Linked DNA regions of Schizosaccharomyces pombe. Changing the gene in region 1 together with any one later gene gives a genetic interaction. Each region holds a gene or a part of one and is shown in the gene's direction. Other genes may lie near its edges.

Evidence for each region. A genetic interaction does not mean that the proteins touch.
Region 2: mutations in pgt1 (region 1) and msa1 together harm fitness more than expected from each alone (negative genetic interaction), as found in Schizosaccharomyces pombe (one large-scale study listed by BioGRID).
Region 3: mutations in pgt1 (region 1) and ppx1 together harm fitness more than expected from each alone (negative genetic interaction), as found in Schizosaccharomyces pombe (one large-scale study listed by BioGRID).

Annotation. Positions count from the first base shown.
Region 1 is NC_003424.3:5,430,838-5,436,615, reverse strand, and holds pgt1 (plasma membrane glutathione transmembrane transporter Pgt1), read left to right. Parts: upstream 1-1,828; 5' UTR 1,829-2,202; coding exon 2,203-4,758; 3' UTR 4,759-5,041; downstream 5,042-5,778. Other genes in the region: silencing factor Clr5, read right to left, coding at 5,544-5,778. UniProt on the Schizosaccharomyces pombe protein: High-affinity glutathione transporter which plays a role in scavenging glutathione from the extracellular environment for the maintenance of sulfur homeostasis.
Region 2 is NC_003424.3:2,317,909-2,324,569, reverse strand, and holds msa1 (RNA-binding protein Msa1), read left to right. Parts: upstream 1-1,744; 5' UTR 1,745-4,330; coding exon 4,331-5,932; 3' UTR 5,933-6,078; downstream 6,079-6,661. UniProt on the Schizosaccharomyces pombe protein: Negative regulator of sexual differentiation. Acts by repressing the transcription of meiosis-inducing, ste11-regulated genes.
Region 3 is NC_003424.3:3,944,555-3,948,570, forward strand, and holds ppx1 (exopolyphosphatase), read left to right. Parts: upstream 1-2,000; 5' UTR 2,001-2,023; coding exon 2,024-2,141; exon of another isoform or gene 2,142-2,183; coding exon 2,184-3,220; 3' UTR 3,221-3,375; downstream 3,376-4,016. Other genes in the region: GARP complex subunit Vps54, read left to right, coding at 1-1,489; plp1 (thioredoxin domain-containing protein), read right to left, coding at 3,376-3,687, 3,729-3,804, 3,853-3,939, 3,984-4,016.

The DNA of each region.
Region 1 (5,778 bases):
TTTTTCCGCGACTTTGACTTTTTGTTTTCTCTTTTTTTTTTCAGACTTAGTGTGCATAACTCCCCGCGTCAATTACTGATTACTGATGATTTTTAACCCTCATAAACCAATTCATCTATTCCTTTGTTGGGGTTTGTACTCACTGGTCTACATTTATGATCGAAACATGTTTTCGATTACATGTACCATGTTTACGCATGATTTTCCTTGATGTCCACAAATTTATATATTCATTATCCATTGATGTGCTGTAATTATCATATATTCAAAAACTTTACTTTGCTTGACTTTTAAGGCTTTTAATGCAGAAATGTCAAAGTGATATTTCGTTGTAATGGTTTCCCTTTCTCATTAACCCTCTTGCAAATACCTATTATTGCTCTCTACTATATAAAATTGCAAGTTATACATTGGACGCGTTAATGGCTTTTTTTTGTTATTTTCACCCTTGTATCTTGCGCAATAGAGCATCTATGTTTAACAATTAAAAAAATGGGAACTATTTTCGAACTCGTTTCAGGCTAGATTTCCCTTATGTTTGTTGGTTTATAGTTTCCCGAGACAAATCTAACACAGTCTTCCGTCCTTGCTTTAAACTGTTGATCTTTTGCTGACATGGTTATATTTACAATTTTGCTGAGGCAAAAATACGAAACCCTTAATAAAAACGAGGTCAAGTACCTCTTCAAACATTATTTAATATTTGTCGGTATGAGATCCATAAATTTGATGATGAAATTATTTAAAATGAAATTTGTTTATTTATTTTAGTAGATCGTTTCCAGTGATCACCGATGAATAATCTTTACTTTTATTAAATAACACAAAAACCAGAAAACTTATATTAAAGTAAAAGATTCGGTTTATTTGTGTTATAGAGGGAATAAAAGGTTTACTGTATAAGAATTTACAGGTTAATTTGAATTTACACAAAGTAGTAAAAATGGTTCTGATGCTGCTTTGTTTTTCCGAATAACTGAGAAGGAAAAAAATTATTGCAATGTCTAAATTTAATCATTTGCGAATTATAATGCAAACAATAAGATATTTCTACGAAGCTACTAAAGGTTACTTCTATAGGTAGTATAAATTAATATTTGTACAGATTTTATTATTACCTTAAAATAGTCCCTTTTTTTTGTTATATCTATGAAATGAAAAAAGTACCTAACTGGATTTTGGTTTTTTTTTTATTTTCACTAGGCAAATTGATAGTAAAACTAACACAATGCAACATTAAAGAATCTTAGTATCGTTAATCAACAGTCAAAATAAATTGTCTATTATGCAACAAAATATTTCTAATAAAAGGACTATTTATTAAGTCATGCTACACATTTGAAATTTTTTGCTTGTTGTCATAGTATACTTTGCATGGGAATTGCGCAAATTAAAAAAAAAAAAAGGAAAAAAAGAGAAATATGGAAATGAAGTCTTTTGGCTACAAAAAAAGTAAAATTAAAAGAACTTCAAAATAACACTATTAGTACTGTAGTAGGAAGTAAAAATGAATAAACCAACTTGAAAAACAACTGGATTTATTGTAAATCCTCATACATTTATCACACACAAAGTCGCTATATATCTAAAGACTCGCTAAAGGAATCTTATTAAGTAACACGGAGATTTTTTGTAACCTCGTTAACTATCTTAAAGCTGCTCTTTCTTCGATAAAGAGCGAAGGGACACAATGTCGTGATGGTGTCGCAATTATTGACATGCTTATCGATGGTATAAGATCAGCTTACCATTCGGCAATCATGCCCTGGTATTAAAAATCTTTTTCATTCATACATATATATAAATATATAAATTTGTGTGCAAAGTTAAACTCTCCTTTACCCTTCACTTGGTTTTTAAGAAAAGTGCAAAAATTAATTGAGATTTCAGTGAATCTCACTTGTAACAATTGAAATAATCTTGGCGTGCGAGAAAGCAATTGAACGGCCTTTATATTTCTTTGTGGATCAAGTTTTTGCTGATTTTATCAATAACCTCAATTTCGGTTGAAAAGCAACGCTTGTCGAAATTCTGAAAAAGTTCGATGGAAATTGCCATAGACGAAAATTTCATACAAAGGCAGAGATAAAGGAGTTTTCATTTGTTAGTGCCTGCATTATTTTTTAACCTAAATAGATTATATATCTTGCCATTTGTTGAATTATTTGCTCCTGATTTGACAGGCTTTTATAGGTAAATACAATGACAGCTCGCAATTCTGCTAGTATTCCTACCAGTATTAGGAAAACATCTGAAAATGAAGTCTCTGGAGATGAGACACCAGCTGGAGTTGGGAATTTATCTACAAAGACGGCCTCTAAGACTTCGCTGACTTTTCGACAGTCTTCTTCTGACGAGTCGACGAGCAGTTATAGTGGAAACCACCATAATATTAACATTCAACATCACCCTAATCGTCCTTTTCGGACCAATTCATCTTCATTCAGTCCAAATGACTACAGCATAAGTGAAAGTCCTAGTAAATCGAAGAAGGATGGCGTGCATGTCTCAGCGGTTCAACTTGACAATGAAACCGACTCTGAAGTCGAGTCAGAAGTAGAAGAGTTGGAACGTGAATTAGAAGCCATTGAAGATTCTGTTTACCCAGAAGTTCGTGCTGCCGTAAATCCTACTGACGACGTTAATTTGCCTGTGAACACTTGGAGAACTTGGGTGCTTACCACCATATTTGTAATAGTTTTCGCTGCTGTGAATCAATTTTTTAGTCTACGTTATCCGGCTTTGAGCATCAGTTTCATTGTCGCTCAATTAATTTTATTTCCTCTAGGAAAACTATTGAACTTGTTACCAAATTGGAAGATTGGTTATGGTCGATTCTCTTTTTATCTTAATTCTTCCCCCTTTAACGTTAAAGAACATGCAGCCATTACAATCGCTGTTTCCCTAACATCATCTACCGCTTATGCCACGAATATCCTGTCCGCCCAAACTAGCTTCTATAAACAAAACCTCTCGTGGGGTTATAAAATACTTATTGTGCTTACCTCGCAAATGCTGGGTTATGGATTTGCCGGTCTCACTAGACGCTGGATTGTGTATCCAGCTGCTATGATCTGGCCTCAAACTTTAGTAAGCACTGTTCTGTTTAGAACACTTCACGGTAATAGTGGAAATGACATTGGGGTATTAAAAAATAACAGGATATCTGCTAATGGCTGGACCATTTCCAGATATCGCTTTTTTGCATATGTAATGATTGGATCATTTGTTTTTTACTGGTTTCCTGGGTTCATATTTAAAGGTCTTTCTTATTTTACCGTTCTTTGCTGGATATGGCCAAAGAATCGTGTTGTAAATCAGTTATTTGGATACAACTCCGGTCTTGGCATTCTTCCCCTTACATTCGACTGGCAGCAAGTCGTTTACAACAGCAATCCATTGGCTTCTCCCTGGTGGGTAATTTGCAATACTTTTGGATCGGTGGTTTTAATTTTTTGGATTGTCGTTCCTATCTTGTACTATAAAGGTGTTTGGTTCTCTAATTATTTACCCATGCTTTCATCTTCAACATTTGATCACACCGGTGTAAGCTACAACTCTTCACGTGTTCTTAATAGTGATTACTCATTTAATCATACAAAATATGAATCATATTCACCCTTATATATGCCTATGTCCTATAGCATGTCAACTGCTTTGAATTTTGCTGCTGTGACAGCTATTTTCACACATTGCGCTTTATACAATGGAAAAGATATATGGCAACGCTTATGGAAAGAGTCTGGTAAAGATGAATGCATTCATCGGAAGCTGATGCGCAATTATAAGGAAGCACCTCAGTGGTGGTATGCCACATTGTTCATCGTAGTCTTTGGCTTAACCATTTTCACAGTTCGTTACTATGATACGCAATGTCCTGTGTGGGCTCTCATTGTTGCCTTGTTGATTTTTATTGTAAATTTCATTCCTCAAGGTGTTCTTGAAGGCATTACAAATCAGCATGTCGGTCTCAATATTATCACTGAGCTAATTGGCGGTTATATTTTACCTGGGAAACCTTTAGCTAATTTGATGATTAAACTGTATGGGTTCATTCCTATGCGGCAAGGGCTAGAGTTTTCTCGTGATCTTAAACTCGCTCAATATATGAAAATACCTCCACGTATATTATTTTTTGTTCAGCTTTTTGCTACAATCCTCGGTGGAATTACCCAGGTTGCTGTACAGGAATGGATGAATTATCACATTCCAGGTATTTGTACAACTTCACAATCAAATGGCTTTACTTGTCCCAACGGTCGTTCCATCTATAATGCCTCCTTAATTTGGGGTGCAATTGGGCCCGCTAAAATGTTTTCAAAAGGAAAACCATATTACCCATTGATTTTTTTCTTTTTGATAGGTGCAGTTGCTCCTTTTATAACATGGGGTTTGAGAAAAAGGTTTCCTAAGTCGTGGATTGGAAAGCTTAATGCTCCGGTCCTTTTCACTGGTCCTGGCAATATTCCTCCCGCTACTGGAATTAACTATTCTTCTTGGGCAATTGTTGGGTTTATATTTAATTATGTGATTAGAAAGCGCGCGATACACTGGTGGAGGAAGTACAACTACGTACTGGCTGCAGCTATGGATTCTGGGGTTGCAGTCGCTGGAGTAGTAATTTTCTTATGTGTATCATACCCTGGAGGTAAGATAACCTGGTGGGGAAACACTGTGTACACTAAAACTTATGATTGGAAAAGTGTGCCATATAGGTCACTTGGGCCAAACGAAACCTTTGGTTACACCAATTGGTAAAAGCTATTTTAAGGCGTTTAGTGCTCTCTCCTGCTCTTCCGATTGTATTTAAGCACATTTTTTAAAAGCATTTTAACAATCGTTATTTTGATACCCTCTAAGAACGATCTATATTGTACATTATATATTTTACCAAGATGGTGTGATATGCTTTGTCAGTTCAACAGGCCAAATCCGTTCTATTTTAAGGCTTTTAAAAACCTAAAAACGTCCGGTTACTCATAATTTGTTGAATGAAACATTTCCACAGCTTATTAAATATAATACTTTACTGAATCCACTACTATGATAACTATTCAAGGTTGGTTAAAGTTTGTAAATAGTAAAAACCGAATGTATAAGCAAAATAAAAATAACTATTATTAAATATATAACTTTTATGTACATAGGATCTCGTATACGAAAGTACCGGTCGACCTTGATTAAAAATAGTTTCTAAAATTATATACAAAGCAAAAAGACAAAACGATTAAGAGCAAAAAAGAATCAAAAATGAACTTAGCTCAAATAAGAGCTAACGCAAAAGGTTCTTTTATTAAAAAAGAAGGGCTTGCCTGTCCATATACCAGATACTGACACAAATGGCAATATAATTTAACTCACATTAGGCAGGTAGGGCGAATGGTGAAGAAAAAAATTAAAAAACATCTAAATGATAATAAAGCAGAAACCAAAAGGGAATGCCAGAAAGGACCAACTAAAGATACAGGTACTAGTATAAATAGAGCAACACCATGGAAATGGTCAAAACCGCAAAGTGCAACAAGCGGCAATACTAACCTAAACTAAACGAAACGAGAATCTACATCTGGATAAACAGGAAGTAAAGGTCCATGGTCATGCAAAGCTGCATCTGAACGAACCAGGGGAGAATGCTCATGGTTTTGTTGGGGCATAAGCAATGGATTTTGTACTGGATTCAAAGCCGCACTTGCATCTAATAGATTAGCTGAAGGATGGTGAATGTTCTGAGGAAATCTATTAACGAATGTGTTGGGATACGAGTATTGGATATGCTGG
Region 2 (6,661 bases), 3.1 Mb from region 1:
CGAAATTTTTTTTTTCATGTTTCTACTAACGAGAACGTTGAACCCTAATAGCATTTGTTAAGCAGTAAATAATAACTGGTTTCCCTGGTATAAGACATAGTATAAGAACGAGAAGAAATAAATCATATATGGTATTTTTTTTGTTTGGTTTAGTAATGAAGTTCTTTTTTTTTAAAATGGCCCAGTAATAAAAAAGTTCACGAAGAACGTAGTTAGAAAGCTTGATAAATAAATTAAATGAAATCTATGCTCTTTAGAAAGTTCTATGATCTGGCTTGGAGAAGAGTAGTACATAACAGTATGGTAATGTAGTTAGAGCTTCTCTTAACATGCGTACGTTTTCATACCTCTTAATAGTAGGGATGGTTCAGTTCATACAGCTACCTAGTTCACCCCATCAATCAATCAATCAATCGATACAGTCACTCTTCAAAGCATTTTGAGAGTTCTCCCACAGATTTTATGCTAGCTGGAGTTCCGACTTGTTTATTAAAGTAGGAAGGTTGGAAGCGAACCATATCTAACAAACTTTTTTCAAAACGAAAATTAAAAGCAAATTAAACTTTCATTGTCTTACGTCCCATGTTAGGGGGGGGAAGCAGCTAAACAATGATGATTTATAGATGGTTGCCTCGGCTATTATTTACTTTGTTTCATATCTGAAAGAAGAGTAAGGGATAGGATACGCCAAAGATCCACCATAAAACGGTTTATCAACAAAAGGATCATCATCGAATTTGGTTTATGAGTCTTTCAAATGTACTCGTGTTTGTTAGTTTAACATACTATTGCATCCACTAGAGATAGTTAAGAGAAGCTGATTTACAAATGATCGGTTTCGACATGTCTGCCAAGTTATACTTTTAACGTATTACCAAGAAAAAAAAATTTACGGGACGGGGATTCCATTCTTGCTGCTTTGGTTTATACTGTAAGCATAACAGCAATCTTAAATTGAATCGTCTTTGCCAAGCGCATTTGTAAGAGTATTGTATGCTATGCCACGCAGTGCATTTTCATATCCAACGCTACATACAATTTGTTGTTACTCTTTCTGTAGACCATTTCGGAACGTTGATTGAAGATCGGAAAATTTAATGTTTCGTCCAGAAATTGTCTGCATATGTAGTATCACAGAGAGTGTCAAGTCATATCTGACAGCATCAGGTTAATGAGCTTAATTTGGGCCAAAGGCGAGCTAGAAAAGAAGAAGAAAAAAAGAAAAAGTAAACAGTAAAGAAAAACATATAACGACTCTTATTCATCCTTCCTCAGCATTCCCTTTTTCATATTTTTATCCCATTCTAATCCTAGTCTAAGAAATGCTGGCGATATAGACCGAGTCTACTGGTGTCTGGAAAGGAACATAGCTATATCTATATATAGATATAGATATAGATATGTATGTATGCTTGTATTTCGTTGGCAGTTTTCTAGTTTAACTAGCAAAATACAAGAATTAAAATTAGTATTAGTATTATTATTATTATTTTTAAACATTTAAACATCGACTAATTTTTTCAACATCTGTTTTCACTTTCAAGTATCGACTACTTTCTACATTCCAACGATCCATTCTTTATTATAGATTCACCCTTTTCCTCGATAAATAAGCACCATTACACATACTTAAAATTTTTGTTTCAAAGGGAAGCTAAACTGTACGACGATGTTTATCGTTATACTCAGCTGTCACTTATCCAGAACTCACTCCATCAGAGTGCGTGCATTTAGCTTGCTCCCTGCACATCCCACTACAAAGTGTTAGAGATAGGCAATCGGAGTTAGAATACCGAGACTTTATTCCAAGGTAAAAACACATCTAGAAATGGGGACAAACAAAGAAACAAAAGGTCATGTGAATGTTAGATTCAAGGGGTAGAGTTCGATATCTCAGCAAGCGATTCCTTTTTTTTTTTTTTTTTTTTTTTTTGAGAAAACCTCGGTACACGCTAAGCTGGCTTTTCCTATTGTTACTCCTTTTACTACTAGTATTATACTATTGCTTTGCTTTGTTGAATAAACAGTCTATAGAACGCTCAAGAAAATACGACGAAAATAGTTTATTCATAGCTTGACAAACTAACTACCTTTGTTTTGTTTTGTTTTTTTCTTTTCTTTTTTTTTTCGTTTCTTAGCTTGGCTATAGCTTGCGTATTCTGTCTTTGTCAGTCATTAATCCAGACAGTAATATAACATATTCACCTTGTTCTTTTAAAGGTCTCCCTTTTTTTCTTTGTTGCTCATCTAGATTGTGCTTAATTTTTTTTTTGTATACTAATCAAAATTCAATTTATTTTTCTTTAGTTATTTATTTGTTTTTTTTTTCGCTTTATTGGATCCTATTGTAAAAAATCATCTTTTTCATTGTGCTTGCAATTTACCTTTCTTTGACGATTACGCCTTTGTTCACGACTTTTAGCATTCTTCCTTTTTCTATCTCCATGGGGCCGTTGTTAACTTACTCCTAAAATTTGTAGTTGCTTATCTTCACAACCAAAGGATGCTTCGGTGCAGCACCCAATTTTTAGCCCATTACCCTGTGCCCAATTCTCAATGTCTCATCATTTGTCAATACTAGCTTGTTCCTTATACTCCCTGTAACCCACTATCTAAGACATTGTGGAGAGGGAAATGTTGGCAGTAGTGATATACTTCCGAATGGACAATTGCCTATCAATCGTGGTAAAGGAGAATGGCTAGAATTTAGTAAAATGATATGGCCCAAATAGAACGGTAAAATTACTAAAAGATTGAGGATTTGAGGCAGCGTCTTGGTCGTTTGACTAATTATTAGAGTGTAAGCAGGATTCGGATGTATTGCTCCTTTAGTTAATCATATCGTCTGGTTTTGCTCCCTAATGTCCCTTGTCCTCTTTTATGCCGCCTACATTACCGATGAAGAACACGTGTTGAAATCCCCGAGTTTGCAAGTAGTCTTGATATACAATGTCTTTTCCTCGTATATTCCGAGCAGATCTAAACCTTCGTCGTGAATAACCCCCTTCTTTGCTTTCACCTAAATCAATTGCTATTCGAGGGTTTTCGATTCTCTCCTTTCTCCATTAACATACTAAATTCAATTTCTCTTTGTGTGGGTTGCTTCCTTTTTGCTGAGACGTCTCCCCGTCTTCCATCCTGTCTTTATCAGTTTTGTTGCATTTCTGATCACCCATTTTTTCTTTTTTTCCTTTTCTTTTGTTATCTATCGAATACCTCCACATTGCTTGAAATACTAGTGAGACTGCGTTTACCTTCTCTTCTCATCTGATTCTGTCTGTGCCATTGAGCTTTCCTTCGCTCTCCTCTTGCACCTTTTGTTGCGTTTACTGGCTTCTTTATTTTTATTTGTTTTCTTTTTCACCTCAAACTTTCTCTGTGTTCAGCTTTTCGAGATATTCAACTGCAATTGTACTGCTCTTTGATTCTTTCACCTTTTTCAATTCGAACTTGCTACTCCCTCAAGCTTATCCAATTATTTTTTAGCTTCCACTTGAGAAGAGTTCTCTCTATCCATCACCCAAAAACTGAAATTTCATCTTTGTGAAATTTCTTTCACGGTCTGATCACCGTGCAAGCTATTTCTATTCCCCATTTTACTTTTCTCATCATCTGACTCTTATTCTGGAAATACTCGTTTCCCCCACTCAAATATATATTTATTCTTTGGGCTTTCCTTAGACTATTGTTAGACTGCAAAGTCTCGTTTGGTTTACCTACTGTCTATCTCTGGTTTTGGTTTTTCATTTTCCATTTCTGTTTCAGCTGGTTTCTCAAAATCTTCATCCTTTCTTTCTTTCTTTCTTTTGACTCGTCATTTTTAAGAGCCATTCCATTTCTTTCTTATTTATACGTGTATAATCTCTATTTTATCTTTGCATTTTTGCACTAAATTACCATACGCTTGCGTTTTTTTCTTTCCCTATTTCTGCAATTTTATTACCTGAGTAAAAGTTTTCCCATTCGTTTTTTCCTATCCCTTCTTTGATCAATTTTATTTATCTTTTCTTTTGACCAAATTTTTTCTCTGGGGTTTTTTTTAAACTTTGTTTTGAAGGAAATTTTAAATTAATTAACTTTTAACTTTTTCAGTTGAAATACTTTTCATTCTTTTTTCTACGCAGCTTTTGGATTGCTGTTGACACATCATCTCATAACTATCTATTGTATTCCATATAATCGACTGATACGACCTCCATCCCACTTTGGCGCAGGCATCTCGTATAAAGTTTTGTCTTTTTAATTTGATATCAATCCGGCATCCTTGTTTCATGCCCCTTTATAGATCCTTTCTCATTCCAAACTTTTTTTTTAAACACATTATTTAAAAATGGTTGTTTCCTCTCCGTCTGTATCTTTATTGCATTCTCCTGTCGAAAAATTATCAGCCCAACTCGAAAAAACAACGCTTTTACAAGACATTCCCCCAGGTTCTTTATCCGAAAATGATAATTCCACTACCTTTATAAAGCCTCCTTTGGAAACTGCATCATCAAGCACCCCTATCCCAAGTTCCTCTTCCAGTGGAGTATTAAATCCGTCGTCTGTCCGTGGAAAACCAGTTGCCTGTTTATTTGTTGCTAGCTTAAACTCTTCAAGGTCTGAGGAAGAGCTGACTGCCACTGTTAAAGATTACTTTCAACAGTGGGGTCCTTTGTTGCATGTCAAAGTTTTGAAAGATTGGTTGCAAAGGCCTTATTCTTTTGTTCAATTTCAAAATACTGATGATGCATCGAAAGCACTTTCTGAAGCCCAAAACACGATATTGGATGGCCGTCATATACGTATAGAGCGCGCCAAAGTTAATAGGACAATCCGTATATCCTCTGCACCCCATCAACCTTACATTACAAAAAAAGACATAGATAACTTATTGGAACCTTATGGCGAGGTTGAAGATGTCACGGAAATACCAGATCAATCCGCTTTCTTAGTACGGTTTGTTTACAGGGATGAAGCAATCGCAGCCTATACCGCGCTTAAGCATTCTGCCTGGCCTGTACTTTGGGCGGAAAATGTGACATATCAAAACGGTCACTATAAGAAGAAAGGTTCCTCCCCGTTTTCTCCACCTAACGCACATAGTCGAAGGCGAAAGTCGCAAGGCAAAGATCAGTCGAACACTCCTGTTATCAAAGCACCTGCCCCTATTCCATTCTCAGTTTCTTCCGATCCTCCTTCTACCATGGGAAGATCAAATTCCGCGGTTCAAAGTCCCTCATACTTTGCTCACTCATTGGTCAATTCTACTGAATTCAGTACTCCTAATGAATCTTTAAGCTCCTTACCGAGTATATTACCTTCAATACCCTCTTTAGAAAGCGGCAAGGCCGAACTCCCAACAGATGGTTCTTTTGAACAGCCTGGATATCCCATGAACCCCTCTATGATGTTTGCTGCAATGCCTCCACCGATTGATCCTTATTCTATATTCGTTGGCCAACTCGACCCAGTAAATTGCACACACTACTTACTAGTTGATCTATTTTCCAAATATGGAAAGGTAATCGATTGTAAAATAATTCATCAAAGCAAGAAGCCTGCTTTTGCTTTTCTAAGGTTTGATTCTCAACAAGCCGCTTATGCTGCCGTCTGCGGTAAGACGAGGTCCCCACACCAGAAAAAGCCTTTGCGTGTTGAATTTCGTCAACTAAGACCAATGCAGCAATTTTCCCCTCAATATCAATATCCCTCCTATCCATATCCGATGTTTCCAGCGCCATTTTCACCACCTCGTAATGCAATGATGCCAATCCCTGCACCCATGGATCAGTTTTCAACATTTCACCAGTCAATGGCTACCCTTCCTCCTGGTGCCGTTCCCACATCAATTCCTCAGTCGTACTATCCCATTTATTCTCCAGAAATGGCTATGCCTCAATCGTACAGTCCGATGTATTATACGCATAACCCACCTATGGATGGGAATTAGATTTATTTTGAATTTCCCTTCATTATCTGATTGAGGTTTCACTTCTTTATACAGTCCTTAAGTGTCGGAGTTTTTTTTATTAGGTACATATTCTATAAAACACTAATAATTATCTAATTTATTTTACTTAAAAGATGCAAATTGGCTGCAATTATATTTAAAAGATTTAGAGTCATAAATGTTATTATGTTCATATATATGTCTTCTATATAATTTTACGAATTAGTGTAACTCGTAACAGTTCTCTACTTTACGCATTAACGATATAATGATATTAGATAGAAGTTTATTTATATATGCTCCCAAATATAGATGTTCTCACACATGTATCGTATACACTCTAACCATTTGATTATTTTCACTACATAAATTTTTACAAAAATACTATATAAAGTCAATTCATTTTATGAAATTTTTAATTTGAGGCTGTAATATTACGTGAACTTTTTATTTTGGCTTACTGGCGAACTGAAAAAAGAAAATTAGTTTTTTTTTTAACAGACCTCTATTTCATAGCTTTAGACTTTCTCAAAACACTAGTTTCATATAAATATTCCTTATAGACACTAAATACAAAAAAAGGTTCGTGAGGTAAAGAACCAGAAAAAGAAAAAAATTATAAAGACAGGACAAGCATAAGTTTACAAGGGACTATTATATACGGGGTATACGTTTCCTTGCTATACTGATTCTTTATACATCTCCCAATTTCGTTTGCTATATATTCTT
Region 3 (4,016 bases), 1.5 Mb from region 1:
ATTTGAAAATTTAGCACAACAGTATTTTACCGATGGTGTAGAGATGCGCAGTGTTCGTAAATCCTCTGATTTACGTCGCAGCTTGAGTGCAGCCAGCCTTTCTAGTCTTTCAGATAGCTCTAGAAGAAGTTCATCAGCGGCGAATCCTTTTCAGAGCATGAGCATCACGGAATTTGCAGAAATGTTGACGAATATATATTTTTCATCATTGGAATGTCTGCGTCGCATTCGCAGCCAAATAAAAGTTTTAATAGATATTTTATCGAAAAAAGATACTAAACAATATCACCTATCTGTGATTCTTAATGATTTAATGGCCACGAGTTCCGATGTTGTTACACAACAAGTGACAACTATTAATAATCTTCGATTTCGAGTCTTGGATACTTATCCTCCTAATAATGTTATATACCTTTTTTCTTTACACATAATTTTTCATAATGAGCTTGAAAGTCTTTGCGGAATCACACAAAGCTCATTTATTCCAACTATAATGAGGCAATTACTGGACTGGTTTAAAAATTTTCAACGATATTCTACTCAGAAATTGGCATCAAGCTTTGAAAGGGAGCTATGGGAAGCGATACCTGTTGAACCATCCTGTCAAGATCTAGCTAATCGCGTGTTTGAATGCTCCGGTAATACTCCCGTAGAATGGACGCGACTATTATCTCCTGAAGCAGAAAAAGAAGATGAAAATCATAGGGTTCACCATGTAAAAGTTTCAGAGGACTGTACTGCTACGGTTTCGTTTGGAAAACAATCATTACATATTGTTCGGTCCTCTGTTACGTTGTTAGAAACATTGGATGATTATGGTAAACTTCTTGCTCACTTTTCAAGATTGGCTCCAGAGTTTCAGACTGGTATGCTAGATATGTTTCGTACACTCAATTCTCGGGTTTATCAATTAATATTGGGAGCGGGGACAGTGCGGTCGTCTGGCCTTAGTAAAGTACTTGGGAAGCATATTGCACTTGCCTCTCAAACTATCGCATTGTTTCAATTATCCCTTAATTCAATGTGCAGGTACTTGTCAAGAGTAACAGGAACTCGACTCACCAATGAAACTAATAAGTTGGATCAAGATTTCACCGTTCATCACTTACAAATTCATGATAAGTTTGTTAGTCTCATGAGGGAACGAGTTGCTATCAGTTGTTCCCAGATTGCTTCTCTTTCGTGGGATATTGACAGTCCTCATGGATACATTATTGATCTTTCAAAAAGTCTTATAAAGCTCTACAAAGTTTTACATCGCTACTCACAACGTGACTGTGTAGAAGTAATACCAGATGTAATTCGGATGTTCGAAGATAGACTGCAGTTGGAACTTACGGATATTGCAAGAAATCCATCCAAATGGCCAGGCGTTCGTATTGATTTGTCCTATTTTTATGACATGATGGCATCTAAATGCGGATATGCAGGAGACCGGACTTTATTGGAAAAATTTGAACGTACTCCGGAACAGCAGGAAGCGGCTTAAACATTTGTTTCGTCGTTTTTTGTAATCTATTTTAGTTCTTTTCTTGACAGGTATTTTGGTTATCTGCTTTTGTGCTCGAGTTACCGTCATATTCTTTGGAATTTTACATTTTGGTTTAACAATTTACTAACCTGAATGAATTCTAAGAATCCAAAAATTTTGTTGCAAGTTATGAACCAAGCAGCTTCTCTATAAAATTCTCCATTCTATCGATAGTTCTAGTATTCACAATGACGAATACAAATTCACTTATGACTACTAATCGGCCAGTTTTGATTTAGAGTATTACTCATTTAATTCGGAAATCTCATGGGAGCGTAATGTTTTCGACCGATTTAATTTCTTTTCATCTTCTCTCATTTATTATTGTTTTTATCACCTTTATTCAATTCCTTATGAAAATACTCATAATTGATTTAAGTGTATCAGTCAAATTCCTTGCTATATTGAGTAACTTGTTACTTTGGTAGTAATAGATTAGATATATTGGCTTGCACCTAAAGCCTGAAGTAACCTTTTCAATCTTTTGGTACAATGAAATTAGGCAGATTTTTAGAAAACGGAAGGGAGCAAATACGAAATCTCCTCTTAAATGCTTCGACTGTATCGTCTGCCCCGTCTTTTAGCTTTGTTAGTGGAAATGAATCAGCAGGTACATTAGTCGTAATAGACGAGAATTAACAATTCGTCTTAGATCTTGACAGTTGCGCTAGTTCAATCGTATATGCGTATTGCCTGCAAAGAAAACAGCTGGGTAGGATTGTAGTACCTTTTTTTAACATTCCTCGAAAGGAGCTACGTCTTAGGCCTGAACTGTCTTATTTGTTGAACTTAGCATCAATATCTTCCGATGATATTGTCTTTTTAGATGATATTGTAAAATTACCAAAAAGAATATTCAGTAATCCTATTTATTTAGTTGATCACAATTCTTTGGACCGTAAAGACCTAGAAAATTTCAACGGCAGTATCGCTGGTATTATAGATCACCACAAAGATGAAGGGGGATCCTTACATGCTGATCCAAGAATCATTGAGGAATGCGGTAGCTGCTGTACTTTAGTTTGCCGATATTTTATGCCTGTCATTAGATCTCTATATGATTCCAAAGTATCTGAACTTCACCAAACAGCAACCAACCTTGCTGTTTTGGCACTTGGCCCTATTTTAATTGATACTGGAAATTTAAAAAATGAAAAGACTACTGATACCGATGTTAAAATAGTAAATGACTTATGCTCATTTGTGCCAAAAGATTGGGTTCGAGATGAGTTTTTTGATACTCTGAAAGAGAAAAAGAAGAGCTGTAAGGGTTTTTCTTTTGATGATCTACTACGCAGGGATTTAAAACAGTATTTTCCGGACGGAATAGTCGTCAATTATGCCAGTGTTGGAAAGGGATTAGATTGGATCAAGAAAAAACGTCTCGGATGGGAAGATGAATTGAAAAGTTTTGCCGAAGTGCAAAATTCTGATTTGGTAATTGTTGGGTTATCTCTGAGTAAGAACGACGAGTTTGGTCGTCAATTGATTTTATACAAGCGTACTGAAAGGGGAGCTGGTCTTGCCGATTCTTTCTTAAAACTTAGCAAACAAAATTTAGGATTAGAAATTATTGAAGAGAAAGATAATGGCGACCTCAGTATGTGGAATCAAAGAAATTCCGCTGCTAGCAGAAAGAAAGTAGTTCCCTTACTTATGGACTCAGTTAAACAAGTCGCTTCAAAATAGTTACTGCTTTAGACTCCATTGTGATTTCTGTTCTGTACATTTTACGATAGCTACACTCATCAGTAGGCTTATGATAGATTTTAAATTTTTTTAAAAGGATATATATTATACATCACATTGATCTAAATTTCTTACTTTGTAATCCCAAGATCCTTTTATTCAAAAAAATCACTGTCATCTGATTGATTATTTTGTAGTTCATCGTGGTAAATAGACTTGTTTGAAGAACTCTCTTCTTTTAATCGGTCGATTGCTGAACTCTTGAGCAACCGAAATTCTAGGAGTGAAGTTTCAAAATCATCTTTATTACCTAAATCAGCAAATCCGATAATCTTATCCACGAGCTGAGAATTTACGTAGCAAAGTACGGCTGGTAATACTTTGAGACCCAATTTGACTACCAAAAATGGAGCGTTGGCTGCTTCAATACGGATAAACTTAGTTTCCCAATGTACTTTGGCAATTTTCTGAGAATGTTAGCGTAAGCAATAAATGGAACTCCTCGTACCTCTAGATGAGAGTCTATAATTTTGCAACGTATAAAATCAGGGTGGTAAAAATGTATAACAACTTTTTTTGATGAACTAAAAAATAATTAGTTTAAAATAATCGAAGCTAATGTTTTGACATACAGCGTAAAATCCATAACTTCGCGCTCATTTTCTACAGTAAGAAACTGCATGTGTCCTTTTTCTTTTGCAGCTTCCACTCTAGCGAATCTGAACGGTTAAATTCTTAAAATCATTTTAAAGCTTTTTCTTACTCTTTTTTTAGCATCTCCAATCTCTGTTCTCGA